3 linked regions of the Sus scrofa genome follow. The protein of the gene in region 2 purifies or fractionates together with the protein of the main gene of each other region. This does not show direct contact. Links are inferred from orthologs where the notes say so. Each region holds a gene or a part of one and is shown on either strand. Other genes may lie near its edges. The genes, in order: COPS5, FBXO22 and KDM4B.

Evidence for each region.
Region 1: the proteins of FBXO22 (region 2) and COPS5 purify together in Homo sapiens (affinity purification with mass spectrometry; 3 studies listed by BioGRID and IntAct, with this or other methods). This does not show direct contact. The link is inferred for Sus scrofa from reciprocal best matches to the Homo sapiens genes FBXO22 and COPS5.
Region 3: the proteins of FBXO22 (region 2) and KDM4B purify together in Homo sapiens (affinity purification with western blotting; 3 studies listed by BioGRID, with this or other methods). This does not show direct contact. The link is inferred for Sus scrofa from reciprocal best matches to the Homo sapiens genes FBXO22 and KDM4B.

What each region holds. Positions count from the first base shown.
Region 1 is NC_010446.5:67,750,612-67,760,305, forward strand, and holds the end of COPS5 (COP9 signalosome complex subunit 5), read left to right. Parts: intron 1-1,187; coding exon 1,188-1,299; intron 1,300-5,120; coding exon 5,121-5,269; intron 5,270-7,311; coding exon 7,312-7,396; 3' UTR 7,397-7,542; downstream 7,543-9,694. UniProt on the Homo sapiens protein: Probable protease subunit of the COP9 signalosome complex (CSN), a complex involved in various cellular and developmental processes.
Region 2 is NC_010449.5:56,156,322-56,166,015, forward strand, and holds part of FBXO22 (F-box only protein 22), read left to right. Parts: intron 1-5,141; coding exon 5,142-5,229; intron 5,230-6,282; coding exon 6,283-6,378; intron 6,379-9,694. UniProt on the Homo sapiens protein: Substrate-recognition component of the SCF (SKP1-CUL1-F-box protein)-type E3 ubiquitin ligase complex that is implicated in the control of various cellular processes such as cell cycle control, transcriptional regulation, DNA damage repair, and apoptosis.
Region 3 is NC_010444.4:73,883,033-73,893,254, reverse strand, and holds the start of KDM4B (lysine-specific demethylase 4B), read left to right. Parts: upstream 1-3,373; 5' UTR 3,374-3,504; intron 3,505-10,222. UniProt on the Homo sapiens protein: Histone demethylase that specifically demethylates 'Lys-9' of histone H3, thereby playing a role in histone code. Does not demethylate histone H3 'Lys-4', H3 'Lys-27', H3 'Lys-36' nor H4 'Lys-20'.

The sequences.
Region 1 (9,694 bases), on a different chromosome or scaffold from region 2:
GCTCAAGAAATAGACTATTCCACTTGCACATTTTACTGTCTGTGTCCTTTATCTACACATACACATATCTTGATCTTGAAAAGCCCTTTACTTAATTCTGATATCTTTAAATTCTTACTTTTGTTTTTTTATTTCTTCACTCCTGAATTAAATCAATACACATTTTGTTGTACCCATGTGTCTTTATCTTTCATACCACTAACCTGAGTCTGAGCCTTTTTCTCCTCACATCTGCTCACTTTCCTTTTTGTAAGTCAGTGCTCTCTGCCTGATTCCCTCCTTGCTCTCGATACATCCACACTATAGGCCCATGTAAGACTTACTCTAAATCCTACTGTTTCCCTAGGGCTTCTCAGGCAGTTCTTTCCATACTAAGAGTATTCATTATCTCTAACATTTAATTGGTGGGTGGTTAATTTTAAATATGCACTATAGCATCACTTACTGCTTTTCAACATACATCATTACTTTTAACTTCTCATGGATCCATTCCACATTTCTCATAAAAACGGGTAAGCTCCTTAGGTAAAGAAGTCCCTTGTATCTCTTTGTATCCATTGCTGTACAGAATATAGGGAGGTATTTAAATATTTATTACTTTAAAAAAAATTTTTTTAAGTTTTTCAGACATTTAACCCAATTTTCCTTGCTCTCTCTGACTATAAATTAGGCATCTTTGGAAGCAATAGTAATTCTTTTACATGCTTTAAGGACCTACCTTAAAGTTTGCTTTTCCAAAAAGCAGTAGGTCCTACTTAGGGAATTCGAAAGGTAGGAGTGGAGAATCCACATGTTATTTTGGGTATTTTTAAAAGCTTAACAAAAGTTATAGTTGACCCTAGAGAGGTAGTTCAGTTTGTGTGCTATTGACTAGAATTTATGAACTCAATGACATGGATAAACACATGTCATTCAGTAGTTCTGTTTAGTTCTTGCTAACCTCTTAGGAATTTCTGGGCTCTATAGAGGAAAGAAATAAATACAAGAGTGTTTAGTTAATAGAAGATTTGAAGCCATGGCCCTAAAGAGTAAGGAAACTATTTTTAATCTTTTGTTCTATTGGACTAAAAACTAAAATATGACTATTTGGATATAAAGTATAATTCACTTAAATTTGACCTTAACCTCTATATGATGTGGTTGAATTATTGTTTTACTTACCAGATTATTGTGCTTTTTTTTCATAGATACTATGCCTTAGAAGTCTCATATTTTAAGTCCTCTTTGGATCGAAAATTGCTTGAGCTTTTGTGGAATAAATACTGGGTGAATACGCTGAGTTCCTCTAGCTTGCTTACTGTAAGTACTGTGCTTTCAAGGGATGTGACTAAATTTTATCTAATCTATATAAGCTGTTTAACATCTGAAACTCTTTCATGGAAAGGCTATATCTGACTTGGCCAAAACAGTAAGGCTGGGATCAGATTCTTCATGACCAGAGGTAGATTAGGATACTAGGCCAAGTCACAATCTGTGTCATGTACCATTGAGACCAAGTCTAAATGACAAATATAGTGGGCCAGGTGAGGGTGAAATCTGCCTCTGCCTTAAACACCTAACAGAGAAGAATACAGATGCTGTTTTGTCTCAGGTTGGACTCTGGTAACAAGTGACAGGAGACCCAACCAAAGCTGTCTTACACAAAAAAGAATCATGTAAACTCCAAAGTCCAGGAGTTGGGCTTACTTCAGGCATAGCCTAAGTCTGCATTCAGACAATATTATGAGGTCTTGGTCTTCCTCTCTTAGCTTTGATTTCAGGTCAGTTGGCTTCAGTTTCAGACTTCATGTGAAAGCAAGATGGCAGCATTAGCTTAGACCTCTCAGCCTCGCAGTTTCATATTCAGAAGATCAAGATACACATACACACATTCATACATACATACATACAGATGCACATTCCCAGGCAAAGCCTCATTATGTCTGAGTTTTGAGGTTACATACCCATCCTTAAAGCTGCTCTAGGCCAAGGTAATGATCACCTTGAGTGGCTAGACCAGGGCACATGCTTTACTGCTGGGCTGGGGTAGAAGAAAGTCTTTCAGGAGCCACGTGGGCTAAGAATGTCCCCAGAAGGAAATCAGAATATCACTACATAAAAGCAGCAGATGTTGAACAACAACAAGAAAGTCAATAAATATTTTCCAATATATCATTAAAATCTAACATTTACAAGAATATTTAACAAACTTCTATCTAGAGCTTAATAAGAAACAGTTCTGTTTTGGTTTTTTTTAAAACTTCATAGAGTACAGTATAGCATAGTGATTAGAACCACAAAACCTGGAATAAGATCAACTCAGTTCAAAAACAACTCTGCTGCTTTACAAACTGTATATGACCTTCAGAATATTATTTAATGTGACTGAGCCTTTCTTATTATCAATGATAAGAGTACCCACATTGTTAAGTGCACTGAGAATCATATGAAATACTTTATGTGTAAAGCAGTTCGCAAAGTGCCAGGCATTATAATAAAGCCACAGTAAAATTTTTTTGTTGTTTATTGTATTCATGGGAAGAGACCTCACTTGAGCATATTTACTGCGATTTTAAATACAGTTCTAACACGCTTTCCATTCTTTCTTCTTATCCTCAATGGTCAGAAGTAGCAAACTGGAAGGAAGGAGAGTGACCATAATAGCAAATATTTATTCAGTGCTTTCTATGCACCATGCACTGCTAAATGCCTTATGTGTGTGGTGTTTCCTTAGAGACAGGTATACTGATAGCAGCCAGAGGTGACAGATGATGGCAAAAGGAGGAACTGTAAGGCAGGAGTGATCTGAACTTTTGTATAAAAGCAGACAGCTCTACTTACTCAGCCTATGGCTGTCCCTATATTCCAGCACTGCATATATGAGGACATTAATAATTAAGAAAAGGTTATATTGGTGACTTTTTTGTGGTTTTATATATAGTATATTGCAGCACTTTAAGAAAAAAATACATTTTTTTTCAATTCATGTTTCCCCAGCTAATGCATGTAATCTAAAAGTTACCATAAAAAAATCATTTTATGATTTATTTCTCTGTGTATTTTGAAATGTAATTGATTCTTTCTTTATTTTAATAGTATAACTATTTCTGCTACCCTACATTTTTTAATAGCTTGCACTAAATCTTCCAGATGTGAGGTAGTCTACAAACCCTAGGATTTTCTCCAAATCTGTGGAGTAGAATGTATTCATGACCTAAATCATTTAGATCCAGAGAAAGTGAATATAATCACACCTTTAAAAAATATCATAAGTTTGTAAAATCATTGGAAAGCTGGTAACATTTTATAGGGCTCCTTGTAATAACTAAGATGACAGCAAATAACTCTTAAAAAATATCTTCTGGTTGAACTATATTTCCTGTACATGGTCTTACAGACTGAGCAAATAGAATAACAAAAAGATATTCCAATAAAATCTTTTTTAAAATATTACAGTTAAATGTGCATATGTAATTATTAAATTTTTTATTTTTAAAATTTATGAAAGTCTATATCATATTTCAGTTTAACAAATGTGGGTATGCATGTGAGTGTGTGTAGCAATACTCTAAAATACAGCTCTGGTTATAGCGATGTGGAGGGATTATAGGTATTTCCTTTTTTCTGTATATTCCTCTACATTTTCCAAATTTTCTATATAACTATTAACTTTATTTATTTATTTATTTATTGTCTTTTTTTTGCCATTTCTTGGGCTGCCCCCGCAGCATATGGAGGTTCCCAGGCTAGGGGTCAAATTGGAGCTGTAGCCACCGGCCTACGCCAGAGCCACAGCAACGCGGGATCCAAGCCACATCTGCAACCTACACCACAGCTCACAGCAATGCCAGATCCTTAACCCACTGAGCAAGGCCAGGGATCGAATCTGCAACCTCATGGTTCCTAGTCAGATTCGTTAACCACCGAGCCACAACGGGAACTCCAATATAACTATTAACTTTATAATCAGAAAAGCTACAACAAATGTAATTTTTAAAATGCTGATATAAGTACTAATTCTGGAAGTTCAACAAGAAAAAATATAACAAAATTAGCTAACAACCATTAAGCCTTTACCAGGTGCCATGGACAGTCCTAAGAGCTTTATATAATATCACTACAATTTAATCTTCACAATAGCTTTAGGTAGAAATTATCACCTTCCTTCCCCATTTTCACAGGAAGGCTTGAAGGCACAGAAAAGCAAAGGCGCTCTCACAAGGCCTTCCAGTCTGCAGCAGGGCCAGAACCTGGACTCAGACCTGTGTATTTGGAAGCTTCTTATAATAACACATATTAGATTTAAGCAGTCAAAAAGAAAAATTCCAAACTTAGTATTAAAATTATGAAAGGGGAAGAACTCTACATTTGAACTGCATGAGCTTTGGGATCACTTTTTGCAAGTATAATTTGACCTCTTACTTCACTGACTATCTACTTAGATTTCTTTTTTTTTTTTTTTTTTTTTTTTTTTTTTTTGTCCTTTTTGCCATTTCTTGGGCCACTCCCGGCATATGGAGATTTCCAGGCTAGGGGTCTAATCGGAGCTGTAGCCGCCAGCCTACGCCAGAGCCACAGCAATGCCGGATCTGAGCTGCGTCTGCAACCTACACCACAGCTCAGGGCAACACCAGATCCTTAACCCACTGAGCAAGGCCAGGGATCAAACCCGCAACCTCATGGTTCCTAGTCGGATTCGTTAACCACTGAGCCACAATGGGAATTCCTCTACTTAGATTTCATAGTGGAATTATCTGTAAATGAAAGATTCTATATATAACATGGTTGTTTGGGGGTTTTTTTGTCTTTTGTCCTTTTTAGGGCCGCACCCTCGGCATATGGAGGTTCCCAGGCTAGGGTTCTAATTGGAGCTATAGCCACTGGCCACAGCCACAACCCACAGCCACAGCAACTCCAGATCTGAGCCGCATCTGTGACCTACACCACAGCTCACAGCAACGCTGGATCCTTAACCCACTGAGCAAGGCCAGGGATAGAACCCGCAATCTCATGGTTCCTAGTAGGATTCATTTCCACTGCGCCACAACAGGAACTCCAAAAGATCCTATATAGAAGAAAATTTTGTTTTTTTTAATGATAGACTTGTTCTATATATAGACACAATATCATTTTCCCCACAGAATGCAGACTATACCACCGGTCAGGTCTTTGATTTGTCTGAGAAATTAGAACAATCAGAAGCCCAGCTGGGACGAGGGAGTTTTATGTTGGGTTTAGAAACGCATGACAGAAAGTCAGAAGACAAACTTGCCAAAGCTACACGAGACAGGTAAGAGCAAATCTATTCCTCACTCTTTTCTTTCAATATTCAAATTCCTTATGGCTCAACTTACTTATAACTTAGAATGGTACTTGAATATTAACTTCTTTGGGCCTTTAAGAGTTGTCAAAAGCAGGTTTCAGCTGAAATTCTTAAGACGGTAACTAAGAACATCAGAGTCTAAAAGGTCTAGGTAGTGTATGAAAAATTCCCAGTTACCTTTTCTAAGTTCAGCTAGAAACTGTAAGAACGAAAACTAGTCCATTGCTGGACCTTTAAAAAACAAAAACTTGCAAAAGGATGCCCTAACCTGTTCTAACCTTATCATCTAAAGGATTAAATTAGAATTTCTTAAATTTAAAGTTTAACCCCATAAATATCTGATAAATGATTGTATCTCTCTTAATTTTATGTAATAATTCTTTATACAGTATTTTAGTATCCCAAATTTTACTACCAAGAATTTGTTATGAACTTGGGATAGGTTCTCTAATAACATAGGAAATAATTACATGGTGGTCCTTCAGATGCATACAGGATTGGAAAGACTACCAAAAAGCATTTACTTTCACAAAATTTTGAATTGTAATGTGATAGTTAGGAATAGAGAGGGAGGGAAAACTGTGTTGACATCTATATAAACCAATACCTTGGTATCCATTTTTTAAAAACCTGTACCAGTTGGTAAGAAAGAAAAGAGAGAAGGGAGGGCAAAGTGTATTAGAAGTAGATGCCATCTTGGGTTACAATGATCTCATTCCTTTCTTCTCCATGGGTTTTTTAAAGGTATAGAACTAGTAGCCTGGATAAAAATTACATTTTTCTTTGACATGAGATCTTACTTTTGATACTTGATCTTAGTATGTCATTGTGCTCATGTATCTTTATATGTCTCTGATTTACAATTTCATCTGCATTTAAATCTAAATTTCTTATGAAGCAAAAATTTCACTGTGGGAATGTCTCAATTATATAAGAAAAGTAGTAAGAACAAAATTTAAAATAATTTTTAAAAACGATTTTTAAAAAATAGGGAATTTTCAGAGCTCACTTGTGGCTCACTGCGTTAACTATCTGGCATTGTCAGTGCAGCAGCTCAGGTCACTACTGTGGTGCAGGTTCAATCCCTGGCCCAGGAACTTCCACATATCATGGGTGTGGCCAAAAAAAAAAAAATTAGAGAATTTTGCTTTTAGGAGTAACTTTATAAGAATTGCATCTCTTCTGAATATTGGTAGTGTTTTATCATTTTCTTAATCAATTCTAAAATACAAGTCCTTCACTCACTGACCTAACTTTGGCTTTGAATTGTTCAAAGGATGTTTGTGATTATTTCAGGGAGAAAAAGCATAAGATTCTTTAAAATCTTTTTTTTTTTTTTTTTTATGTCTTTTTTGCCATTTCTTGGGCCGCTCCCAAGGCATATGGAGGTTCCCAGACCAGGGGTCGAATTGGAGCTGCAGCCACTGGCCCACACTGGAGCCACAGCAACGCGGGATCCGAGCCATGTCTGCAACCTACACCACAGCGTTGCCAGATCCCCAACCCACTGAGTAAGGCCAGGGATCAAACCCACAACCTCATGGTTCCTGGTTGGACCCATTAACTACTGAGCCATGATGGAAACTCCTAAAATCATTTTTAAAAATTATTCTAAGTAATGAACAAAAAAGAATGGAAGATTTTAATGTAATATTGGAATCAGTCTATAATTCTCAATTATAAAAAACTTCAGTAACCTGAAACAGAATTTTCCCTAACCTTCTGACAAGTAACAAAATTAACTTCTATGATTTATATCAAATTTTACATTGTCATTCTCTTGGAAAGGTGTTAGTAAGTAATGAAATGGTCAAAAAACATGCAGGAGGCTAAAATTCACTATAGTAAACAATAAAGAATAAGCTGTAAATTGGTATGGTTTGGTATATGTGAATAGAACCAAAAATCATTATTGTGGGTATAAGGATAGATGTGGGGGTGGGGGAACTTGCATGTTTGAAACAGTTTTTAATTATCGTGACATTATGTGATGTATTTTTTCTTTCCAGCTGTAAAACTACCATAGAAGCTATCCATGGATTGATGTCTCAGGTTATTAAGGATAAACTATTTAATCAAATTAACATCTCTTAAACAATCACAAAATAGTACTTTTGCCAGTATGAGAAAAATACGCAAGTAACAATTTAAAACCAGTTACCAAAAATACGATTAGAAGAATAAGGTGCTCTGAAGTGTCCTGAATATTAACATCCTATAATAAAATTCTTTAAATGAAATTGTTCTTTGATTGTTTTCTGGGAGGGGATACATTATTTTACTAGTATCCTTTAATGTTCTTTTTTTTTTTTTTTTTTTTTTTTTTTTTTTTGTCTTTTTGCTATTTCTTTGGGCCGCTCCCGCGGCATATGGAGGTTCCAGGCTAGGGGTCTAATCAGAGCTGTAGCCACCAGCCTACACCAGAGCCACAGCAACACGGGATCCGAGCCGCGTCTGCAACCTACACCACAGCTCACGGCAACGCCGGATCGTCAACCCACTGAGCAAGGGCAGGGACCGAACCCGCAACCTCATGGTTCCTAGGCGGATTCATTAACCACTGCGCCACGACGGGAACTCCCTTTAATGTTCTTAAATACAAAAAAAAAAAAAAATATTTATTAGAGCTTTCCTATTTTTTAAAGAGCCTTGCCTATCTAAATTAGTCAAAAGATTTCAGCATTTCACCTAACATACTGACTGTCGGAGCCACTTTTCAATTTACCGAAGACCACCTCTTTGTTAAATCTAATGAAAAATCTTTAGGCTTGGTTTTCCTCGACTTCTGGGCCACATGTGAAGTCACTCATACATTACTTCTTAAAGTTTTCTTCTCTGCTGTTGTGGTCTCTTATTCTAACCATTTTATATTTGATGGGAGCTAAAGAGTTTTAAACAACAGAAATGTACCAGTCTGATGTTTCTAAGAACATTTTATTAAGAAAGTTGTAGACCAGGGCTAGATGAGATGATTTGTGGAAATAAGAATTAGATGCCTTCTTTTGACAGTCTGTTTGTAAAAAATAAAATTTACTGAAACGTTTTTATGTTCCTATGAAACATTAACTAAGTCACACCATAAATTATTCTCCTGAAGATCAAATAATTTATTTGAGAAAGTCTAACACAGGTATCTAGTCAATCAAATGTTCACCAAGCATTTTTACTGAACTAGGCCATTTTGTTCTCTGGAGATTTTTTTTTTTTTTTGATTGTTACTTTTTTTTGTTTTATTATTTTCCCACTGTACAGCAAGGGGATCAAGTTATCCTTACATGTATACATTACAATTACATTTTTTTTCTCCACCCTTTGTTCTGTTGCAACATGAGAATCTAGACAAAGTTCTCAATGCTATTCAGCAGGATCGCCTTGTAAATCTATTCTAAATTGTGTCTGATAAGCCCAAGCTCCCGATCCCTCCCATCAGGCAGCCACAAGTCTTTTCTCCAAGTCCATGATTTTCTTTTCTAAGGAGATGTTCATTTGTGCTGGATATTAGATTTCTGGAGATTTTCTGAACAAGGTAGAATGGCAACATTCCTCACAGAACTTACAACAGAGACTAAAGCTAACTTAAGATGAACCTAAGAATACTGCTATGAAGGGAGAAATAAAGTGTGCTGGGAAACTCTCAGGAGGAACACTTACCACATAGAGGAGTTAACCAGGTAGGCTTCCTGTAGGAAGCGACCTGACATTAAGCTGAAATTTGATAGATTGGAGGACTAGCCAGAAAAAAAATAACAGGTTATGTTTTTATAAGCAAAGAAGATAGCAATGTGAGGAAGGCCAGGGGCAGAGAGCAGGAACCCAGAACCTTCAAAAATTGAGATTTGGAGTTCCCGTCGTGGCACAGTGGTTAACAAGTCCGACTAGGAACCATGAGGTTGCGGGTTTGGTCCCTGCCCTTGCTCAGTGGGTTAAGGATCCGGCGTTGCCGTAAGCTGTGGTGTAGGTTGCAGACGCGGCTCGGATCCTGTGTTGCTGTGGCTCTGGTGTAGGCCGGTAGCTACAGCTCCTACTGGACCCCTAGCCTGGGAATCTCCATATGCCACGGGAGCGGCCCAAGAAATAGCAAAAAGACCGAAAAAAAAAAAAAAAAATTGAGATTCGGTTAGATCTGAGAGTGTCGAATAGTTTGTATGGAGTAACAGAGATGACTTCAGTCAGTAAGATGAGCATAGATCCTGCAGGGGCCTTTTGGATTTTATCCTAACAGCAATAGGGAGCTAAAGAGTTTTAAACAGGAATGTACTAGTCAGTTTCCAAGAGCACTCAAGAAAGTTGTGGGCTGGATCAGATTAGATGAGATGAATTTGTGGAAATAAGAGGGCCCAAGACAAATCATGGCATACATCAAATTTTAAATGGTCAGAGGAAGAGGAGACC
Region 2 (9,694 bases):
ATTAGATTCCAGATATAAGTGTGATATCATATGGTATTTGTCTTTCTTTTTCTGACTGACTTCACTTAGTATGAGAATCTCTAGTTTAATCCATGTTGCTGCAAATGGCATTAGTTTGTTCTTTTTTATGGCTAAGTAGTATTCCATTGTTTATATATACCACATCTTCTTAATCCATTCATCTGTTGATGGACATTTAGGTTGTTTGTGAATAATGCTGCAATGAACATGTGAGTGCATATGTCTTTTTCAAGGAAAGTTTTGTCTGGATATATGCCCAAGAGTGGGATTGCTGGGTCATATGGTAGTTCTGTGTATACTTTTCCATGTAAAGTACCTCCATAATGTTCTCCATAGTGGTTTTACCAATTTACATTCCCCCCAAAAGTGCAGGAGGGTTCCCTTTCTCCACACTCTCTCTAGCATTTGTTATTTGTGGACTTTTTTTTTTTTTTTTTTTTTTTTTTTTTTTTTTAGGGCCGCACCCTCAGCATATGGAGGTTCCCAGGCTAGGGGTTGAATCAGAGCTGTAGCTGCCAGCCTACACCACAGCCCCAGCAACTCAGGATCGAACCTGCAACGTCATGGTTCCTAGTCAGATTTGTTTCTGCTGTGCCACGAAGGGAACTCCTGTGGACTTATTAATGATGGCCATTTCTGACTGGTGTGAGGTGGTACCTCATAGTAGTTTTGATTTGCATTTCTCTAATAATCAGTGATGCTGAGCATTTTTTCATGTCCTTGTTGGCCATCTGTATATCTTCTTTGGAGAAATGTCTATTCAGGTCTTTTGCCCATTTTTCAGTTGGACTGTTGGCTTTTTTGCTGTTGAGTTGTATAAGCTGTTTGTATATTTTAGAGATTAAGCCCTGTCAATTGCATCATTTGAAACTTTTTTCACATTGTCTTTTTGTTTTTTTTTTTTTTTTTTTTTTTTTTTGTCTTTTGTCGTTTGTTGTTGTTGTTGCTATTTCTTGGGCCGCTCCTGCAGCATATGGAGGTTCCCAGGCCAAGGGTTGAATCGGAGCTGTAGCACCGGCCTACACCAGAGCCACAGCTCACGGCAACGCCGGATCGTTAACCCACTGAGCAAGGGCAGGGACCAAACCCGCAACCTCATGGTTCCTAGTCGGATTCGTTAACCACTGCGCCACGACGGGGAACTCCTTTTTTTTTTTTTTTATGGTTTCCTTTGCTGTGTGAAAGCTTGTCAGTTTGGTGAGGTCCTATTGGTTTATTTTTGCTTTTATTTCTGTTGCCTTGGGAGACTGACCTGCGAAAACATTTGTAAGGCTGATATCAGAGAATGTTTTGCTTGTGTTCTCTTCTAGGAGTTTTATGGTGTCTTGTCTTCCGTTTAAGTCTTTCAGCCCTTCTGAGTTTATTTTTGTGCATGGTGTGAGGGTGTGTTCCAGTTTCATTGATTTGCATGTGGCTATCCAGTTTTCCCAGCACCACTTGCTGAAAAGACTGTCATTTTCCCATTTTATATTCATGCCTCCTTTGTTGAAGATTAATTGACCATCGGTGTCTGGGTTTATTTCTGGGTTCTCTATTCTGTTCCATGGGTCTGTATGTCTGTTTTGATACCAGTACCACACTGTCTTCATTACTATAGCTTTGTAATGATGCCTGAAGTCTGGGAGAGTTATGCCTCCTGCTTGATTTTTGTTCCTCAGGACTGCTTTGGAAATTCTGGGTCTTTTATGTTTCCATATAAATTTTTGGATTGTTTGTTCGTTCTAGTTCTGTGAAAAATGTCATGGGTAGTTTGATAGGAATTGCATTGAGTCTGTAGTTTGCTTTGGGTAGTATGGCCATTTTTATAACATTAATTTTTCCAACCCACAAGCATGGCTATCTTTCCATTTCTTTGAATCCTCTTTAATTTCCTTGATTAATGTTTTATAGTTCTCAGCATATAAGTCTTTCAGCTTCTTGGTCAGGTTTATTCCCAAGTATTTGATTTTTTGGGGTGCAATTTTAAAAGGTATTGTATTTTCTAATATTTAATTGTTAGTATACAGAAATGCGACTGATTTCTGAATGCTAACCTTATATCCTGTTACTTTGCTGAACTTGATCAATTCGAGCAGTTTTGGGGTTGAGTCCTTAGGGTTTTCTATAAATAGTATCATTGTCATCATATTTTCTTTTCCTTTCTTTCTTTTCTGTTTTTTGTTTATGTATCCCTTAACTACTTTTTGTGTCTATAGATGATTTTACTACTTTTGTTTTTCACACTTCCTACAGATTTTTATATTTCTAGTTTTGGTCTTTCTCTTTTTCATTTAGAGAAGTCCTTTTAACATTTCTTGTAAAGGCAGTTTAGAGATGCTGAACTCTTAGGTTTTATTTATCTGTTAAACTCTGTCATTCCTTCAGATCTGAATGATACCCTTGCTAGGTAGAGTGTTCTTGGTTGTAGGTTTTTTCCTTTCATCATGTTGAATATATCATGCCATTCCCTACTGGCCTGCAGAATGTCTGCTGAAAGTCTCCTGACGTTGTGGGAGATGCCTTAATCCCACTAATTGCCTTTTCCTTGATTCTCTCCTAATCTTTAATTTTTGCCATTTTAATTATAATGTGTCTTGGTGTGGACCTCTTTGAGTTCATCTTGTTTGACACTCTGTACTGCCTGTCCCTGATAACTGTTTCCTTTCCCAGGTTAGGGACGTTCTTCAAATAAGTCCTGTCTCTTTCTCTCTCCTCAACTTCTGGGACTTTATAATGTGAATGTTAGTACTCTTGATGTTGTCCCATAGGTTTCTTAAACTACTCTCATTTAAATTTTTTTTTTTTTTTCTGTTCAGCTTTAGTTACTTCTGTTGCTCTGTCTTCTAGTTCACTCATCCATTTGTCTATCATCTGATTTGCTGTTGGCTCCTTTTTGTAGTTTTAATTATTGTTATTTTCAGCTCTGTTTGGTTCTTCTTTTTGACTTATTGCTAACCTTCTCACTGTATTCATCCATTCTTCTGAGTTCTTTGAGCATCTTTGTGAACATGACTTTGAACTCTGTATTAGGTAGATTGCTTATCTTCACTTTGCTTAATTCTTCCTGTGGGATTTTATCTTATTCCTTTGTATGGAACGTATTCCCCTGTCACTTCATTTTGCTTGATTTTCTGTTTTTATTTCTTTGTATTAAGTAGGTCAGTTATGTTTCCTAATCTTGGAGAGGAGATGCCTCATGGGGCTTGGAAGCACAGTTCCCTTGGGTCACTAGAGTGATAAGCCCTAGGAGTGCCCCTTGTATGGGCTCTGAGAGCCCTTCTGCTGCTGCAAAGCTGACTGCTGTGAGTGTGCTGGTAGGCAGGGCTGGCATCCTGGCCTGGTTGGCCACCAGGTGCTGCGTCATGTGGAGGTTGCCAGATGCTGGTGGGTGGGACTAGGTCTCGGTGAAGTTGGCTCTGGGGCCTGGGGAGGGCCAGGGCTTGTGGCAACTTGCTGGTGGGTAGGTAAGCCCTTGGCACTAGTATGCTAGAGGGAGGGCTGCAAAATGTGTTAGCCAGCACACATGTCCTCCTGCTAGAACAAGCTCACGTAAGTGGCTGCTGCTAGATTTATGTCCCAGGTGGGTCTCTCTCAGGTTCCTTTTAAATTCCTGCCTCTGAGCTGAGACTCAGAGCATAAGAGATTTTGCATGCACCTTTTATGAATGGATTCCCTATTTCCTCAAGCCTGGTAGCTCTTCTGTGCACAAGTGCTGCTGGCCTTCAAAACGAGGTGTTCTGGGGGCTCATCTTCCTGGTGCAGGATCCCTGGGATGGGGAGCTGAGTGTTGGGCTCCGATCCCTCACTCCTTGAGAGAACCTCTGCAATTGTGATTATCCTCCTGTTTGTGAGTCGGCTGTTCTGGGGTGTGAGTCTGGACAATACCGTCTTCCAGTTTCCCCATTCCCCCTTTCTCATGGTGGTTCCTTCTTTATTCTTTAGTTTTGGGAATTTTTTTTTTTTTTTTTTTGCTAGTCTTGAGGTTGTTCCTATCGATAATTCCTCCGTAGGTAGTTGTAGTTTTGGAGTGGCTGTGGTAGAATGTGAACACAAGGTGCTATTACTTTGCTCTCTTAGCTGCTCCTCCCCAAATTATATTCTTTAAAAATGCCTTGTGGACCATCCATAGGTCTTATCCAGCCCTGAGGCCACTGCAGGGTCATCATTCTGTTGCAGTATCTTCTATGAGTTTGTGTGTATGGAATCTACTCTGAAACATCTTAACATTCCCAGATCAACATTTTCACATAATCCATGTTGAGGTTTTGTCATGTGCTAACTGCTTCATTCCATTTTGTTAGTAAAAATCTTTGAAATTTTTAGAAGGAAAAATATGCTCACCCTTTTCATTTAGTTCGTCTACTTTGCCACTTGTCTCTAACAAATTTACAACATGATGTTTGGTGGAAAACATGAGTCTGAATAAGCCCAGGCTGTAAGTGGAGATTAAGGCACAAATAAGAATGACTGGGATGTCAAGGATGTCACATATGAAGTCACTGGTTCTGAGGGACTTTAGGAAAAGTTTTGTAGAGGATATGGCACTTAAGCTGTTTCTTGGGGAAAACAACCTTAAGTCAAGTACAAAAGGAAAAGAACTTCACAAGGAAGAAAAATTTATATACATATATATATAAATATCTATATATATGAGTTTATCTGGATAATAGTAAGCCAGAGATTCCTGTAGAAAACTAGTTGGCAAGCTGGAAATGAAGGCATATATTATTTAATTTGATAGGCAGTGGAAAGAGGAGTGATACAGTCTGTATACTGTCTGTCTGTTGCTGAGATGTTTCTGTTGTCGTGATACCTGTTCATATAAAGCAAATGGAATATTTTGCTGGTACCCAATGTTTTTGTCTTTTTTTGTTTGTTTAAGAGCTTGAATTGTGAAAATGAACTCCTTGGGTCAGGCTGGAATGAGTGTGATGTGAAGAAATAATAGATGTTCAAGAAATGAACGAGCTGAAAATGAAAGTATGAGTGAAAAATGAATGAGAAGTGGATGAACTTAGAATGCTAACACTGATCTAAAGGAGGGTAGGGCAACAGAAATTTGGACCAAGGCAAAACTATAAGGGGCCACAAAAGCAATCATGGATTCCTGTGATCAAATTTTTATTTTTTTTCTTTTGTAGAATGTCCATATCTTACCACGGACAGTTCTTTACATGGCTGATTCAGAAACTTTTATCAGTCTGGAGGAGTGTCGCGGCCATAAAAGAGGTGAATTTCAAAGGAAACAGTTTTGGATTTTTTTTTGTTTCTTTATGTACCTGTGTTTGGACATAAATACTGGTTTCATTCTTAGAGTTATTGACTTTCTGAGGCTATGAGCCCACTCTCTGCAGAAGGCCTCAATATATTCTCTTTGAACTTTGAGGAACCCTCAAAGATTTCTAAACTGTGTGGTACAATTGAAACTAAATCCTTGGAAAGTGTTTTTCTCATTTTGAAATATTTTAACCCTCCAGGGACTTTTTTTTCCTGTTTAAAACAAGATGTCTCTTTTTGACTATTCAAGCCTTTTGTCGTGTTGGATGACCATTTACTAAAGTTATCTGTAGATACTGTGCATTCTTCTTGGCTTGCTAAGTGAAGACGTGCCTAAGTGTCCCAAGATGGGCACAATGAGGCCCAGAGTTAGACTTAGCTAGTGGTACCATTGCCTGATTTGAATCCAGGTGATTGTGTAGTAGAAAAGTCATTATGGGGAGTTCCCGTTGTGGCACAGTGGTTAGCGAATCCGACTGGGAACCACCGGGTTGCAGGTTCGATCCCTGGCCTTGCTCAGTGGGTTAAGGATCCCGCGTTGCTGTGGCTCTGTGTAGGCCGGTGGCTACAGGTCCAATTCAACCCCTAGCCTGGGAACCTCCATATGCCGCGAGATCGGCCCACAAAAGTGGCAAAAAAAAGACCAAAAAAAAAAAAAAAAGAAAACAAAAAGAAAAGTCATTATGCTTTAATATCAGCTGAACGGATGTCAGATCTGAAATTCAACTGCTACTGCTGATGTCATTGAAGCAGAAGCAGCATGTGAACAAATGGAAAAGGGAAATTGTCAATGCTGAAGGTCAGACTTAGAATTTAACATATAAAACGGGCTTGAAACAGAAAACATTTTGTTGTGAATCCAAGCTTTTAGATTTCCTTGTAAAGCGTTCTGGTGTAAAATGACTTAAATTTTATTTAATATTTGCTTTTTTTTTTTCCCCCTCCTTGAAGCATTAGACTTTATTAAGTGGATGACTTTGAATAATCTTGCTCCTGTCATTACAGCCAGGAAAAGAACTACTATGGAAGCAGCATTTGCCCTTGAGAAGCTCTTCCCAAAACAATGCCAAATCCTTGGGATTGTGACCCCAGGAATTGTAGGTGAGAGAATACCAGCTTGATTCCCTGCCTTGCATTAATGTGGGGTCCTATAGATTGGTGTGTTATTTGTAGCCTAAAGCACATATTTTTGACCTTCCAAAATTCAGTTAAGTTAGTCATATGTACCATTGTATTATATTTGACTTGTTAGGTTATTGTGGTTAATATTTGAAATCTCAGGGCTGTCCATACAAACCAAAATGTAATTCAGATCTTTCCAGCAACTGCTCATAAGAGAACAAAGATCTCATTCTTCCTCCCTACAAATCAGAAGGTAGTAGTGAGCATTCTCACTTTTGTCACTTCAGCCAGAAGTGAGTAGGGATGAGCTAGGGCTAGGATCAGGAGCTGCAGGCTGCCTTAGTAGGAACACAGGGACGGCCTTCCATTTCTCATTTTGGTTGCCCCTATTTAAAGTTTATAGCATGAGGTTGTGGCCTTTTCCAAGTTCGCTGTTGGTGAATTTTTGCTGGTTTTGATTTTTGATTCTCTTCTCTAGCTAATGGGGGAGTGGGATCCTGTCCAGGCAGCCATCGTGCCACGGTTCAGATCCCAGGCCTGGGATCCCAGCTGTACCACTTAGTATCTGTACGACTTTGGGCAAGTTAGCCGACCTCGTGGAGTTTCAGTTTCCCCATCTATGAAATGGGGGTGGCTGACAGTACCTCCTCACAGGGTTTGAGGAGTAAGTGATTTAGCGCATGTACGGCATTAAAAATTGAGATATGCAGTTCCCGTCGTGGCGCAGTGGTTAACGAATCCGACTAGGAACCATGAGGTTGCAGGTTCGATCCCTGGCCTTGCTCAGTGGGTTAATGATCCGGCGTTGCCGTGAGCTGTGGTGTAGGTTGCAGACGCGGCTCGGATCCTGCATTGCTGTGGCTCTGGCGTAGGCCGGTGGCTACAGCTCCGATTCGACCCCTAGCCTGGGAACCTCCATATGCCGCGAAAGCGGCCTAAGAAATGGCAAAAAGACAAAAAAAAAAAAAAAAAAATTGAGATATACAGGAGGCAGGGAATAAATGTTGGCTGTTACTATTTTCTTTGTTCCTCGCAGTAGTACTCCATAATTGTCATTTCTAGTCTTCACCGAGAAACTCTGGATGAGAATTTGAGTCTTGTGCAATGAAGTACAAAGAATTTCAAGTGTCTGCAGATGAATAAAGGAAAACATATGGTTGATGGGGCCTGTTTTCTCTCTCCTGTCAGCTCCCACCTTTATTTTCAGCAGCCCCATCACCAGACATTTCATTTCTCAGTGGATTAAAAAATGACAACAGCGACTGATTTTCTTAACTTTTGAGTTTCCCTTGAATGCATAATCTAGTTTTTAACCATTATTCGTTATTAACAAACTCTTCCATAGAAACATAGCTTTCATTTCTTACGTCATTCTGTTAGGCCTCCCCGCCCGACCTAGTGAGGCTTCCTCAGAGTGTGACCGGTTTCTCCTCTTTAAAATGTCAGCTGGGGCAGGAGCAGGAGAGGGCCGGCAGACCTGGGCCACGCTCTGGCCTCCACGGCCCCATGGTGAGGGCCTGAAGCTTCCTCTTGTACTTACTTGCCTCGTCTCAGGGCAGCTGCGTGCCTTTCTCCCAAGTTCTCTTAAGGCCTCAATGTCAGGGAATGCCATTCCAGCTCCCTTGAGTCAGGACCTGTCCTCTTGCTTGTGTTTTCTCAGACCTGCTCCTCACCTTTCTTGTTTCTCATTCCCGACAGCTCTGCTTTCTTTGAGCCACGTCCATGCATGTCACAGCAAAACTTCTGCCAAGATGGTTGATTGTTTTCCTTTTTCTTAGGCCTTAAGTGAGTGTTTCTAAAGCAGCCATTGGCTACTGGCCCATCGTCCTTCTTTAGGATGGAAAATTTTCAAGGTTGAGAATTTGTTCATTTTTATATACGCAGAGATGATTTTCTTTCTTAATTGAGTGAAATGTACAATCCTAAGTGTACCATTTAATGAGTTTTGACAAATTCATATCCTGGTGAAGCTGACATGCTAGTCAAGATGTAGAATATTTCCATCACTCAAGGAGGTTCCCTCGTGCCCTCCTCTGCCGCTCCTTAGCTGCCACTGGAAACCCCAGTCCCATTTCAGTGACCAAAGATTCGTTTGGCCTGTTGTTGAATGTCATATAAATGGAATCATTCAGTATATACTCTGTATGCATTGGCTTTTTCACTCAGCTTTTTTTTCTTAACCTCATGAATATTTTTGAGATTCATTTATGTTATATTGTCCACCAGTAATTCATTTTAAAAAATTCTGGGGAGTTCCCGTCGTGGCGCAGTGGTTAACGAATCTGACTAGGAACCATGAGGTTGCGGGTTCGGTCCCTGCCCTTGCTCAGTGGGTTAACGATCCGGCGTTGCCGTGAGCTGTGGTGTAGGTTGCAGACGCGGCTTGGATCCCGTGTTGCTGTGGCTCTGGCGTAGGCCGGTGGCTACAGCTCCGATTCAACCCCTAGCCTGGGAACCTCCATATGCCGCGGAAGCGGCCCAAGAGATAGCAACAACAACAAAAGACAAAAGACAAAAAAAAAAAAAAAAAAAAAAAAAAAATTCTGGGGTAGTATTCTGTGACCTAACTTGAATTAACTTTTGTGTATGGTAGAGGTAGGCTCAAGGTTAATTTTTTTTTCTTCATCTGTTTATCTAGTTCTTCCTTCACCATTTGTTGAATACTTTGCATTCTTATTAAATTTTTTCAGCACCTTTGTCAAAATTAATTGACTGTGCGTGTGGATCTGTTTCTGGGTTTCATTCCATTCCATTGATTTAATTTGTGTATCCTTAAGCCAATGCTATTTTACTGTAGGTCTTGATGTTCTTTTTAAAAATTGCTTTGATTATCTAGGTCCTTTGCATTTGCACAAATATTTTGGAATCATCCTGTCAATTTCTAGAAAAAGCTATTGGGATTTAATTTACATTATCTTGAGGCCTGCTACAGACAAAAAAAATGTTTTTATGTTTTGGTATTTTTTGTAGAGGGAGGTCTCATAATAAACTTGGAAATTTTATTTTGATGTTTTAAATTAAGAATAGATTATGTGGTGTTTGATTTGATTCTGAAATTTTCTGAGTATTTTTTTTTTCATTTTGTTCTATCCTTGGTTCCTAAAAGGCTTAACCCTTTTGTTTTGTTTTACTAGTAATAGTCATTTATTGTTTAAAAAAGGGAAAGAAAAATTAGAAGATAAACACAAAAGAAAATACTTAAGCAATTTTAAGCTTAAAATAACGATTAATGTTATGACGCATAAACTAGGCTTTTAGTACTATACATAGCTGTATGTATATGTGTGTATATGTA
Region 3 (10,222 bases), on a different chromosome or scaffold from region 2:
GAACTCTCATTTCTATCTTTTATGCATCAGACTAGCCCTTAACGGAAGCTGGAGGGGGTTTTTGAAAAGCATGGGATATTTCTTAGCTCCACACCTTACCCATTCTGGGAAGGTGGAGACCAGTTAGAAACCAGCTAGCCCTGCGTCATCTAAGGCCGGTGCCAGAGGGCCTGCCGGTCTGTCTTAGGGACAGATGCCCCAGCCCTTTGTGAGATCTGTACCCGTCTGCAAAGATTTGAAAACCAGGACAAGTAGGTTGAGTTGTTCCCAAGTTAATTCGTCTGTCCATTGGAAAATTCTGAGAGTGTGTCCTTTCTGCTTTACCTAGGACACCTTTTAATTAAATGACAGTGATTATAGTTTCTCCCTAACAGCTTGTTATGAAAACATTCAAACAGAAAAGTTGAAAGAACTGTTTCATGAACCCTCAAATATACTTGCTGTCTGGGTTCTACAGCTGTGAAGTTTATTTACATAAACAAAATCGGAAAGCTGAGAACCTATTTAGGACCCTCGGTTTAAAAAATTCCAGTAGTTCCCATTTTGGCTTTTCTGGTTAAGAACCCGAGATAGTATCCTTGAAGATGTGGGTTTGATTCCTGGACTTGTTCAGTGGGTTAAAGATTTGGCATGGCTGCAACCTGTGACTTAAGCTGCAGATGTGGCTTGGGTCCGATGTTGCTGTGGCTGTGGTGCAGGATGGCAGCTGCAGCTCCGATTTGAAGTTCCAGCCCAGGAGCTTCCATATGCCGCAGGTGTGGCCCTAAAAAGAAAATAAATTAATAAAAATTTAAAGAAACTCCAGGGTCTAGGAGCTTCCCTGTGGGTTATGGATCTGGTGTTGTCACTGCAGTGTCTTGAGTTGCTGCCGAGGAATGTTTTGGTTCCTGGCCTGGGAATTTCTACGTGCTGTGGGTGTGGCCAAAAAAGTCCAGAGCCTATTGAATCCAATCAACTGGAATTCACTGTGTTATAGGACAAACTAGGAAGTAGAAAAAGAAAGGTTTTGAGGTAGGGGGATCCCTTCATGACGGCATTTTTTTTTTTTTTTTTGGTCTTTTTTTAGGGCCACACCTGTGGCATATGGAAGGAATTCCCAGGCTAGGGTTCCATATCAGTAATGCTGGATACCTAACCCACTGAGCGAGGCCAAGGATTGAACCCAAGTCCTCATGGACACTAGTCAGGTTCGTTACCTCTGAGCCACAACGAGAACTCCCATGATTGCCCTTTTTTCTCTTTTTTGCTTTTTAAGGCTGCACCCACGGCGTATGGAAGTTTCCAGGCTAGGGGTTGAATCAGAACTATAGCCACGGGCCTATGCCACAGCCACAGCTACGCAGGATCCAAGTTGGGTCTGTGAGCTATATACCACAGCTCACGGCAATGCTGGATCCTTAACCTACCGATCAAGGCCAGGGATCGAACCCTTGTCCTCATAGATACTAGTGGGATTCGTTTCCATTGAGCCACGATGGGACTCCCCCTTGATTGCACTTTGACACTGTATTACTGCTACCAAATTACATGTCAGTTCCCCCCTGCCCCCCCGCAGTTCAGGGTGTTCCATGGGAGCAGTTACTACTTCCTATTTTTTAAGTTAAATTTTAACTGCATGAGGAATATCCAAATATGGCCCCATGAGAATGTATAACACACTAGAACAGATGGAAGTCCTTACCAATTACCCTTTTTACCAATGCAGATCCCTCCTCTCCCCAAAGATTTAGTTTTCTCAGTTTAGGGGTGGCCTTGTTTTGCGAGGGGCCACAGGTATGTGCCCTTAGAAACCACACAGCATTATTTGCTGAAGGTTCATTTCCATAATGTTCTGTTCAGAAATTTGGACCATTCTGCAGCTCTCCATGGCTTGTAGACATCATTCTCTGACTGTACCTGTAGATCTACTTCTTTTTTATTCTTTTTTTAATTTTAATTTTTTTGGCTGTACTGGTGGCATGTGGAAGTTCCTGGGCTGCGACCCAAGCTGCTGCAGTGACAACCCCAGGTCCTTAACCCACTGAGCCACAGGGGAACTCCAATCTGTTTTTAATTGCTATAAAGTTAAAAGTATTCTAAAGTACCCAGTGCCACAGGCTGCTTATTTCCTAGAGAGAGATATTTAGAGCAAAATACTGGGAACAATTAGGTACAGTGCTGCAACATCATCCTTGAACTGGCAAGCTGTGAGCTTGGGAGACTTTCTCAGGGTACATGACCTTCAGGAATAGAATGTAGTTACACTTACCGCCTTATAAATCAGTTGCCTGTTTTACACTCCTGCCAGCGAAATGTGAGTGTACCCACTCTACTGCCTGACCGCAATTAATCACCGAAACGATGTTAATGATACACCTTAGCTAAATGCTCACTTTGTGAAGTGACATGGTCAAATTTTACGTGCCTGTTTTCACTTAACTCGTGCAAACTTCCCAGGATAGGAGCAGACCGTGAGGGGGTGTATCACCATCATATCCTTTTCACCGGAGAAAACAAGCCCAGTGAGGTTACTTTGCTCGAGGCCAACCAGTGAGGCACCTGGGCCCAGCTGAGCTTTGAACTGGTCAGGAAGCAGCGAACTCCTCTCGTCCTTCACGTTTTAGGGAAGGTTACCTCATTTTTAGGGGACGTCACCTAATTTTAGCAGGGAGGCCTTGCGCCTTTGCAAAGTTGTATTGTTTGTGATGGAAATGAACTTTTTTTTGAAGGGTCTGGAGGAAAGGAGAGACAGGGGCGCTTCCTGCTTGACTTTTATTTCTCCAGTTCTCCTCCTTTACAAATTGAGTTTTGTTCGTGCTATGTTTCCTAACTCCGGACTTTGCGAAGTGGAGAACGCGGCTCCCAATTTCCGGCTCCGGGTCTCGAACCCACCGCTACGACTCCCAGGCGGGGTGCTGATGTTGTGCTGGGTCTCACGTACTCAGCTGCAGCCTGATAACCAAGGCGGGGCCCGGGCCGTGATTGGCACTCGCCCCAGCCAGTCCGCTCTTGGGGCTGATCCAGTAAGCCAATATTCTCTTGCCCCCGTGCGGTCGTTGGGCGGTCCCCTAGGCGTCCTTGTCAATCCGAGGCCTAGGGCCGTCGCGTTGGTCGCGGCCTCTTGCCTGGCGTGCTCAGCCTGCAATGAGAACCGAGCCGGTCAGCGGGCACGTGGGTGGGCGCCGGCGTGTCCCGGCCGGCAGGCCAATGGCGAGGCGAGACCGGCGCCTGCGCCCGCCCAATAGAGGCGCGCGGGGGGCGGGCCGTGAGGTGTTGATGGGCCCGGTGGAGGGGAGGGGCGGAGCTGTCAGCGTCAGCCAATGGGCGTGCGGGCGTGGGCTCGGGGGCCAATGGCAGCCGGGGCGGAGCTGGAACGCAGCCCTATAAGCCCCACCCGGGGCGCTCACGGAGGGCTCGGCCGCCAGCGACCGAGCGGGGCCCGGCCCGAGCGGGCCTGGGGGTGCGACGCCGAGGGCGGGGGAGCGCGCGCCGCTGCTCCGGACCGGGCCGCGCGCGCCGCCTCAGGTGAGCCCGCGGGGAGGCGGCCGCCGCGTCCGAGCGCGGGCCCCGCTGCGGCCGCCGCCGTCCCCGCGCCGCGCCCGGGGCTGCGGGCGGGCGGGCGCCCGGGACTCGAGGCCCAGGCCTCGGGCGCGGCCTGCTCGGGCCGCAGCCGCCGCGCTTTGTCCCGGCCCGCGAGGCGGTTGGGGGCGTTAACCGCTTGGCCCCGGGCGCCCGCCGGACCTCGGGCGGGGGCGGTGCGGCTGGACAATGGCGGGGCCGGGGGCGGGAGGCGGGGGCGCCCTGCCCGGGCCAGGGGCGCGCGGGGGCTGGGCCAGGGCGTCCCCGTCGGCCCCGCACAAAAGATGACAGCGTGGGTGGCCCGGCCCGGCTGGCCCTGCCTGGCAGGGCCCTCCCCTTCTATTATTCACAACAATCCTAATGATTTAAAAAATAATAATAAAGAGAAAGAAAGAAATCCCAGGCCCTGGGTGAAGCCCGCCTGCATTTCCAGCCCTTTGGGCACCGGTGGGGTTAATGAGGCGCTTCCCAGTGGTGCCCCCCCGAAATGTCCATCATTGCATCCCACCCATCTCCCCGAATCAACCCGCCGTTCCATCGCGGCTTCCAAACTCGTCCCCCATTTTCCTGAGCCCCCCTAAATAAGCATGCAACCTGGATTTTTTTTTTTTTTAATGTATCCAGTTGCTATGCATATAGCAGCTTACAGACGCGTGCCCTCAGTGCCTCACCCTGCCGGCCCGAAAGCCATCTCGAAGCCCCCCTTCTCTGTAGAAATAAATCGTAGAGTCCCTCCCGCGGAGACCCCTTGGGCTGTCCCATCCAGCCTCGTGGGAGCTGGGGGACGGATTCATTCTGAAAGGAACCTACTCCAGATCTGCTGGGGCCTGGGTCTCCACCCAGTGGGCGCGATGACACCAGGCAGAATGGGATGCACCTCCGTGGGGCCACATGGAAAGGTTTTACAGAGGATTTTCTTTCCCCTGGGGGCAGGGGAGACATGGACTGTGCCTTGGTGTGTCCCATCTGCTTGGTCGGGGGAGGATGCTTTTGTTTTAATAATTCAGGTGCACCTGGGGAACTGTTTCCCGAGTTATGAAACTATTGAGAAGGTTGTTCTGTTCAGTGGAGCCCAGTGATCCCATCCTGTAATGTGTGAAGAGTGTGTCCTTTTTTCCCCATGTGTTTCTATCAAAGGCATTTATTCAGCCAGCTCCTTTGGGTCAAACTGGGTGCCAGCAATGTCTTAGGGTCTGAGAATGCCTGCCCCCTCCTCTGCCTCGACAGCCATTTATCCCGCTGTCCCCAGGCTGGAGAAAGCCCCTGAAACGGTCTCTTTACATGACTTCTGTGGGCTTTCCTTGTCGCAAGAGCTGATGACTCCCCTAATTCTCAAATAATAGCTTCCTTCTGAGGCATCAGGATAGCTTATCAACTCATGGGTCAGCCTTCTCTCTCCACCCTTGCAAGAACAGTGGGCAGCCGCTCTGTCTTTGCAGTTAGTTTGTTTTTTGGAACCCCAAAGGACGGAATGTGAAAGTCTGGAGTCAACTTGTGCTGATCTGAGTGGAGGGTTTCTGAAACTCGCCGGCCCTCTTTCTGTGTTTCTGATTGGATGCTGGGCAAATCATGATGCTCCCCATTCGTGCCGGGGGCACCTCCTCGGTCAGACTGCTCTGCCCTGGGGGAGGGCAGTGCCAGGAGCAGAGGTGCAGTTGCTTGAATGCTCCCAGGTTTTGTGGCGATTCCAGCAGATACAGTGTCACATGCTGTGTGTGTGTGTGTGTGTGTGTGTGTGGGAGAGAGAGAGAGAATGAGTGTGTAGTTGTTGAGAGGAAATGTATATAGGTCTTAGTAACAATTGATTCTGATCCTTGTCGCTTTGGGGAAGTGGGCTGCTAAGGAGATGTTAAATACTAGAGCTTAAAGGTATGGCTGATCGGTCATTCCCGACTCCGCCCTGCCTTTGTTGTACTTTTCTGCGTCCTAGGAAAGACCCTTCCCCAGTCCCTCTGGGGCTGTTGGGGGCCCTCTCTGCCCCTGTCTCCCACCCCCGCTGCTCTGCTTGACCCCGCGTTTCTCCGCCTCCTCTGCTGGCTTCTGGCCCCTGCCCTCTTGTGCCCTGCCCCTTCCCCTGGCTGGCCCGGCAGAGCCTCAGTCCTTGCGTCCATCCCACACTCACCTGGCCTGGGGATGTTGGGTTCGTTGAGCACTGGGGCAGGTTTCGTGGAGTCTCTAACTTCGGGGGGCTTTGGGTCTAGTGGGGGAAGGGGAGGGATGGGTGTCTAGGGCTGTGGGGCACAGCTGTGCTGGCGAGGTGGAGGCCTGGCTCGGGGTGGGCAGTACGGCCCACAGTGTGGGCAAACAAGCATTTCTGGGTGGCTCTCTTCCCCGGAGTCCAGAAGTGTGGTGGACAGGCTCCAAGCTGTGAGACCTTGTGCCCATCACTTGCTCAAGAGCAAAGGTGGAGGGGTGGGGGTCACTAAACTTTCCCAAGCCTACTAGGAAGCTGGGGTGGGGGAAAGCAGAGGAACTATGGGCCATTGCCTGACCATGAGGGCCCTGCAAAGCAGCTGTGAGGTCACCCCATGCTTCTCCAACAGCCTGGGCCTGGTTCCTGGCTGTGCTCCAGAGACCTGCTCCAGGGCTGCTCAGTGGGGACTCACTGCCACGGTTCTTACCTGCCCCAGTCCTGGTCCCTTGCTTCTGGCCTGAGTACCCAGAACATCAGCCAGGCGGGGAAAGGGGCTGAACGTGAACTCCCTTTTGACCTGTGTTCTTGGTGGGGTTCCTGAATGCCTGTCCTCCCCTCCATTCCCCAAACGGAATCTGAGAGACCTGGGTTCAGATCCCTCCTCTGGGTCAAGTCACTTCATCATTCTGGGCCTCGGTTTCCGCATCTGTATGATGGGTGTCATAAGAGCCCATCCTCGGTTATTGAGGAGATCAAAGGAGATGAAAGTCACTGAAGTGCTTCTCATGATGCCGGGGCGCTGAATTCTTCCTGCTCTCAGGGTCCCTCCCTACTCTGCCTTGTCTACATCCAAGCCCAGGTTGTTCTCTGGGGATGGCGGGCACGTCCCAGGCACTGTGAGGTGTTGAGCAGCATCCCTGACCCCCTATCCCATTGATGCCAGTAGTAACCCCTCCCCCCTAGTTGTGACAACCACAATGTCCTCAGACAGCAACCAGTGTCCCCCAGGCACACAGTTTTCCCCAGGTGACATCCCTCTCACTTAACCTCTAACCCCACAGCAGCCTGGTATTTAGCCATGACCCTGATCCGCCTCAAGTTCTGGGTCCCTCTGTCCCCTTCCTCTTTGCCGCCCCATTTAAAAGGGAGGGGCTCACATTTGCAGGCTCTCATTTCCAGCCACCCTGGGGCCAGCCAGGCGTGGTGTGGGGGGGTCTCCGAAGCAGGGCCCCTACCCAGGCTCCCAGGATCTGGAATTGCAGTGGGCAGGCTTAGAGCTGTGTGAGCTGCGCCTGTCAGTTGGCTTTCACAGTTTTCTTCAAGTCGGCTCCGAGGTGACTCACTCCTCATCTTCGCCTCCTCCTGAGCAGTGATGTCCGTGGTCACGGGACTGTTAATGCGCCAGCTGCAGATGCTTTTACACAGTGAAATGCATTTAACTACGATACTTAGAGTCTGTACCGCCGCAAGACTGAGACCACAGCGGATCTGTGCGTCCACGTTGTGTTTGGATGGCTCGGTTTTTGGTTACTCGCTGCTGCTTTGACTTGGCCTGTTCTGGGGCATCTCGTTGGTTAGATAAAGCGTCACAACTCGTCTGTCCATGTTCAGTCCTGCTCCCTCGAGGGGCTTTTACAGACTGGAAAAACGGCCTTCCTTTGCTCAGGGCCCTCCAGTGGCTTCCTGGTGTCCTTGGGAAAAGTTGCAGACCCTTCCCGTGGCCTCTCTCTTCTGTCCTCCGGGGTGCGCTCCTCTCCCACCATCCGCGACCCCTCACTCCTTTGCCTCCTCCCTTGGGTCAGAAACCACTTTCCCTGCCTCCTCTTCTCTGCCTCAGGGCCTTTGCATGTGGTGTGCCCTCTGCCAGAACACTGTTCCCTCAGGTCTCCCCCCAGCTGGCTCCTTGTCATTCAGGTCTCTGCTCAGAGACACAGTCCCTGACCCTCTGCCTAAATTCACCCTTCCGTCCACCTGCTCTCCCTAGCCTATCCTTTCTTCTTTGCATTCTGCACTACCAGAAGTGTTTATTAATCTCTTTATATATTTATAGTCTGTCTCATCCACTGAGGCAGAAGCTTTTCTTATGAAGGGTTAGAGAGGAACTATTAATGGCTTTTTTTTTTCAATCTTTTGTCTTTTTTTTTTTTTTTTGTCTTTTTGCCGTTTCTTGGGCTACTCCTGCAGCACATGGACGTTCCCAGGCTAGGGGTCTAATCGGAGCTGTAGCCACTGGCCTACGCCAGAGCCACAGCAACATGGGATCCAAGCTGCGTGTGCAACCCACACCACAGCTCCCGGGAACGCCAGATCATTAACCCACTGAGCAAAGCCAGGGATCGAAACCTCATGGTTCTTCGTTGGATTCGTTAACCACTGCACCACAATGGGAACTCCTCAATCTTTTGTCTTTTTTTTAGGGCCACAACCATGGCATGTGGAGGTTCCCAGGCTAGGGCTCGATTCCGAGCTGTAGCCACTGGCCTACACCACAGACACAGCAATGCCAGATCTGAGCTGCCTCTGCGACCTACATACAGCAAGGCTCATGGCAACACCAGATCCTTTAACCCACTGAGTGAGGCCAGGGATCAAACCCATGTCCTCATAGATCCTAGTCGGATTCATTACCACTGAGCCAAGATGGGAACTCCTGTTTACTGCTTTGCAGGTTGCAGGTGGGACAGTCTCTGTCCTGACCACTCTGTTCTGCCCTCGTAATGCAAAAGTGCGGAAGCAAATGAATGTGCCTGTGTTCTGATAAAACTTTATTTAGACACAGAAATGTGAATTTCACATGCTTTTCACATGTGATGAACTGTTTTCCTTTTTTTGATTCCCCCCTCACCCCTCCGAGTTGTTAAAATGTCAAAACCACTCTGACCTTGTAGGCCATACAGAACGGGTGGCAGGCTGGATTTGACCTTTGGGCTGTAGTTTGGGAGCATCTCTATGAGGGTGTGAGGTCCCCACTGCAGGAACAATGTGCATCTGGTCACTGCTCGTATCCCTAGCACCTAGGGCAGTTCCTGCACACAGTTGGGTGTTCAGTAAGCATTCATTTGTTGAATGAATTTCCATCTTTCGTACATCAGAGTATTTAGAATCATACTACATTTTATTTTTTATTTTTTATGGCTGCACCTGAGGCATATGGATGTTCCCAGGGCAGGGATTGAATCTGAGCCGTGGCTGTGGTAGTGCCAGTTCCTTTAACCCACTGTGCTGGGCCGGGGATTGAACTCGCACCTCCCCAGTGACCTGAGCCACTGCAGTCAGATTCTTTTTTTTTTTTTTTTTTTTTTTTTTTGTCTTTTTGCCATTTCTAGGGCTGCACCCGCGGCATATGGAGGTTCCCAGGCTAGGGGTCTAATCGGAGCTGTAGCCGCCGACCTACACCACAGCCACAGCAATGCAGGATCTGAGCCTTGTCTGTGATCTAGACCACAGCTCATGGCCACACCAGATCCTTAACCCACTGAGCAAGGCCAGGGATCGAACCGGAAACCTCATGGTTCCTAGTCGGATTCATTAACCACTGAGCCACGACGGGAATTCCTATAGTCAGATTCTTAACCCACTGTGGCATGGCAGGAACTCCTTTATTTTATTTATTTATTTATTTATTTATTTTGTCTTTCTGCCTTTTCTAGGGCCACTTCCCGCGGCATATGGAGGTTCTCAGGCTAGGGGTCTAATTGGAGCTGTAGCCGCTGTCCTACACCTGAGCCACAGTAATGTGGGATCTGAGCCGTGTCTGCAACCTACACCACAGCTTACGGCAACGCTGGATCCTTAACCCACTGAGCAAGGACAGGGATCGAACCCGCAACCTCATGTTCCTAGTCAGATTCATTAACTACTACGCCACGACGGGAACTCCTATAGTCAGATTCTTAACCCACTGTGGCATGGCAGGAACTCCTTTATTTAATTAATTTATTTATTTTTTGGCTCTACTCATGGAAGTTTTGTGGCCAGGGATTGAGCCTGCAATGACAGTGCTGGATCCTTAACCTGCTGAGCCACCAGGGAACTCACATACTCTATATTTAAAAAAAGTAGGTCCTGGTTGTTTTAACGAAATTTAAAGTGCAGGGAATGTAAGAAAATTTTCTGGGAGTTCCCTGGTGGCTTAGCAGGTTAAGGATCTGGCATTATCACTACAGTGGCACAGTTTCATCCCTGGCCCAGGAACTTCTTCATGCTGAGGAAACAACAACAACAACAACAAAAGAAAGAAAGAGGGAGTTCCTGTTGTGGCTCAGCTGAAACGAAGCTGATGAGTATCCATGAGGATGCGGGTTTGCCCTGGCCCCACTCAGAGGGTTTCGGATTTGGCATTGCCCTGAGCTGTGGTGCAGGTCGCAGACAAGGCTTGGATCCTGTGTTGCTGTGGCTGTGGTGTAGGCCGGCAGCAGCAGCTCCGATTCGACCCCTAGCCTGGTAACTTCCATATGCCACACTTGGGGCCTTTAAAAAAAAAAAAAAGGAAAAAGAAAAGAAAATATTCTGACCTCATCCACCAAAACA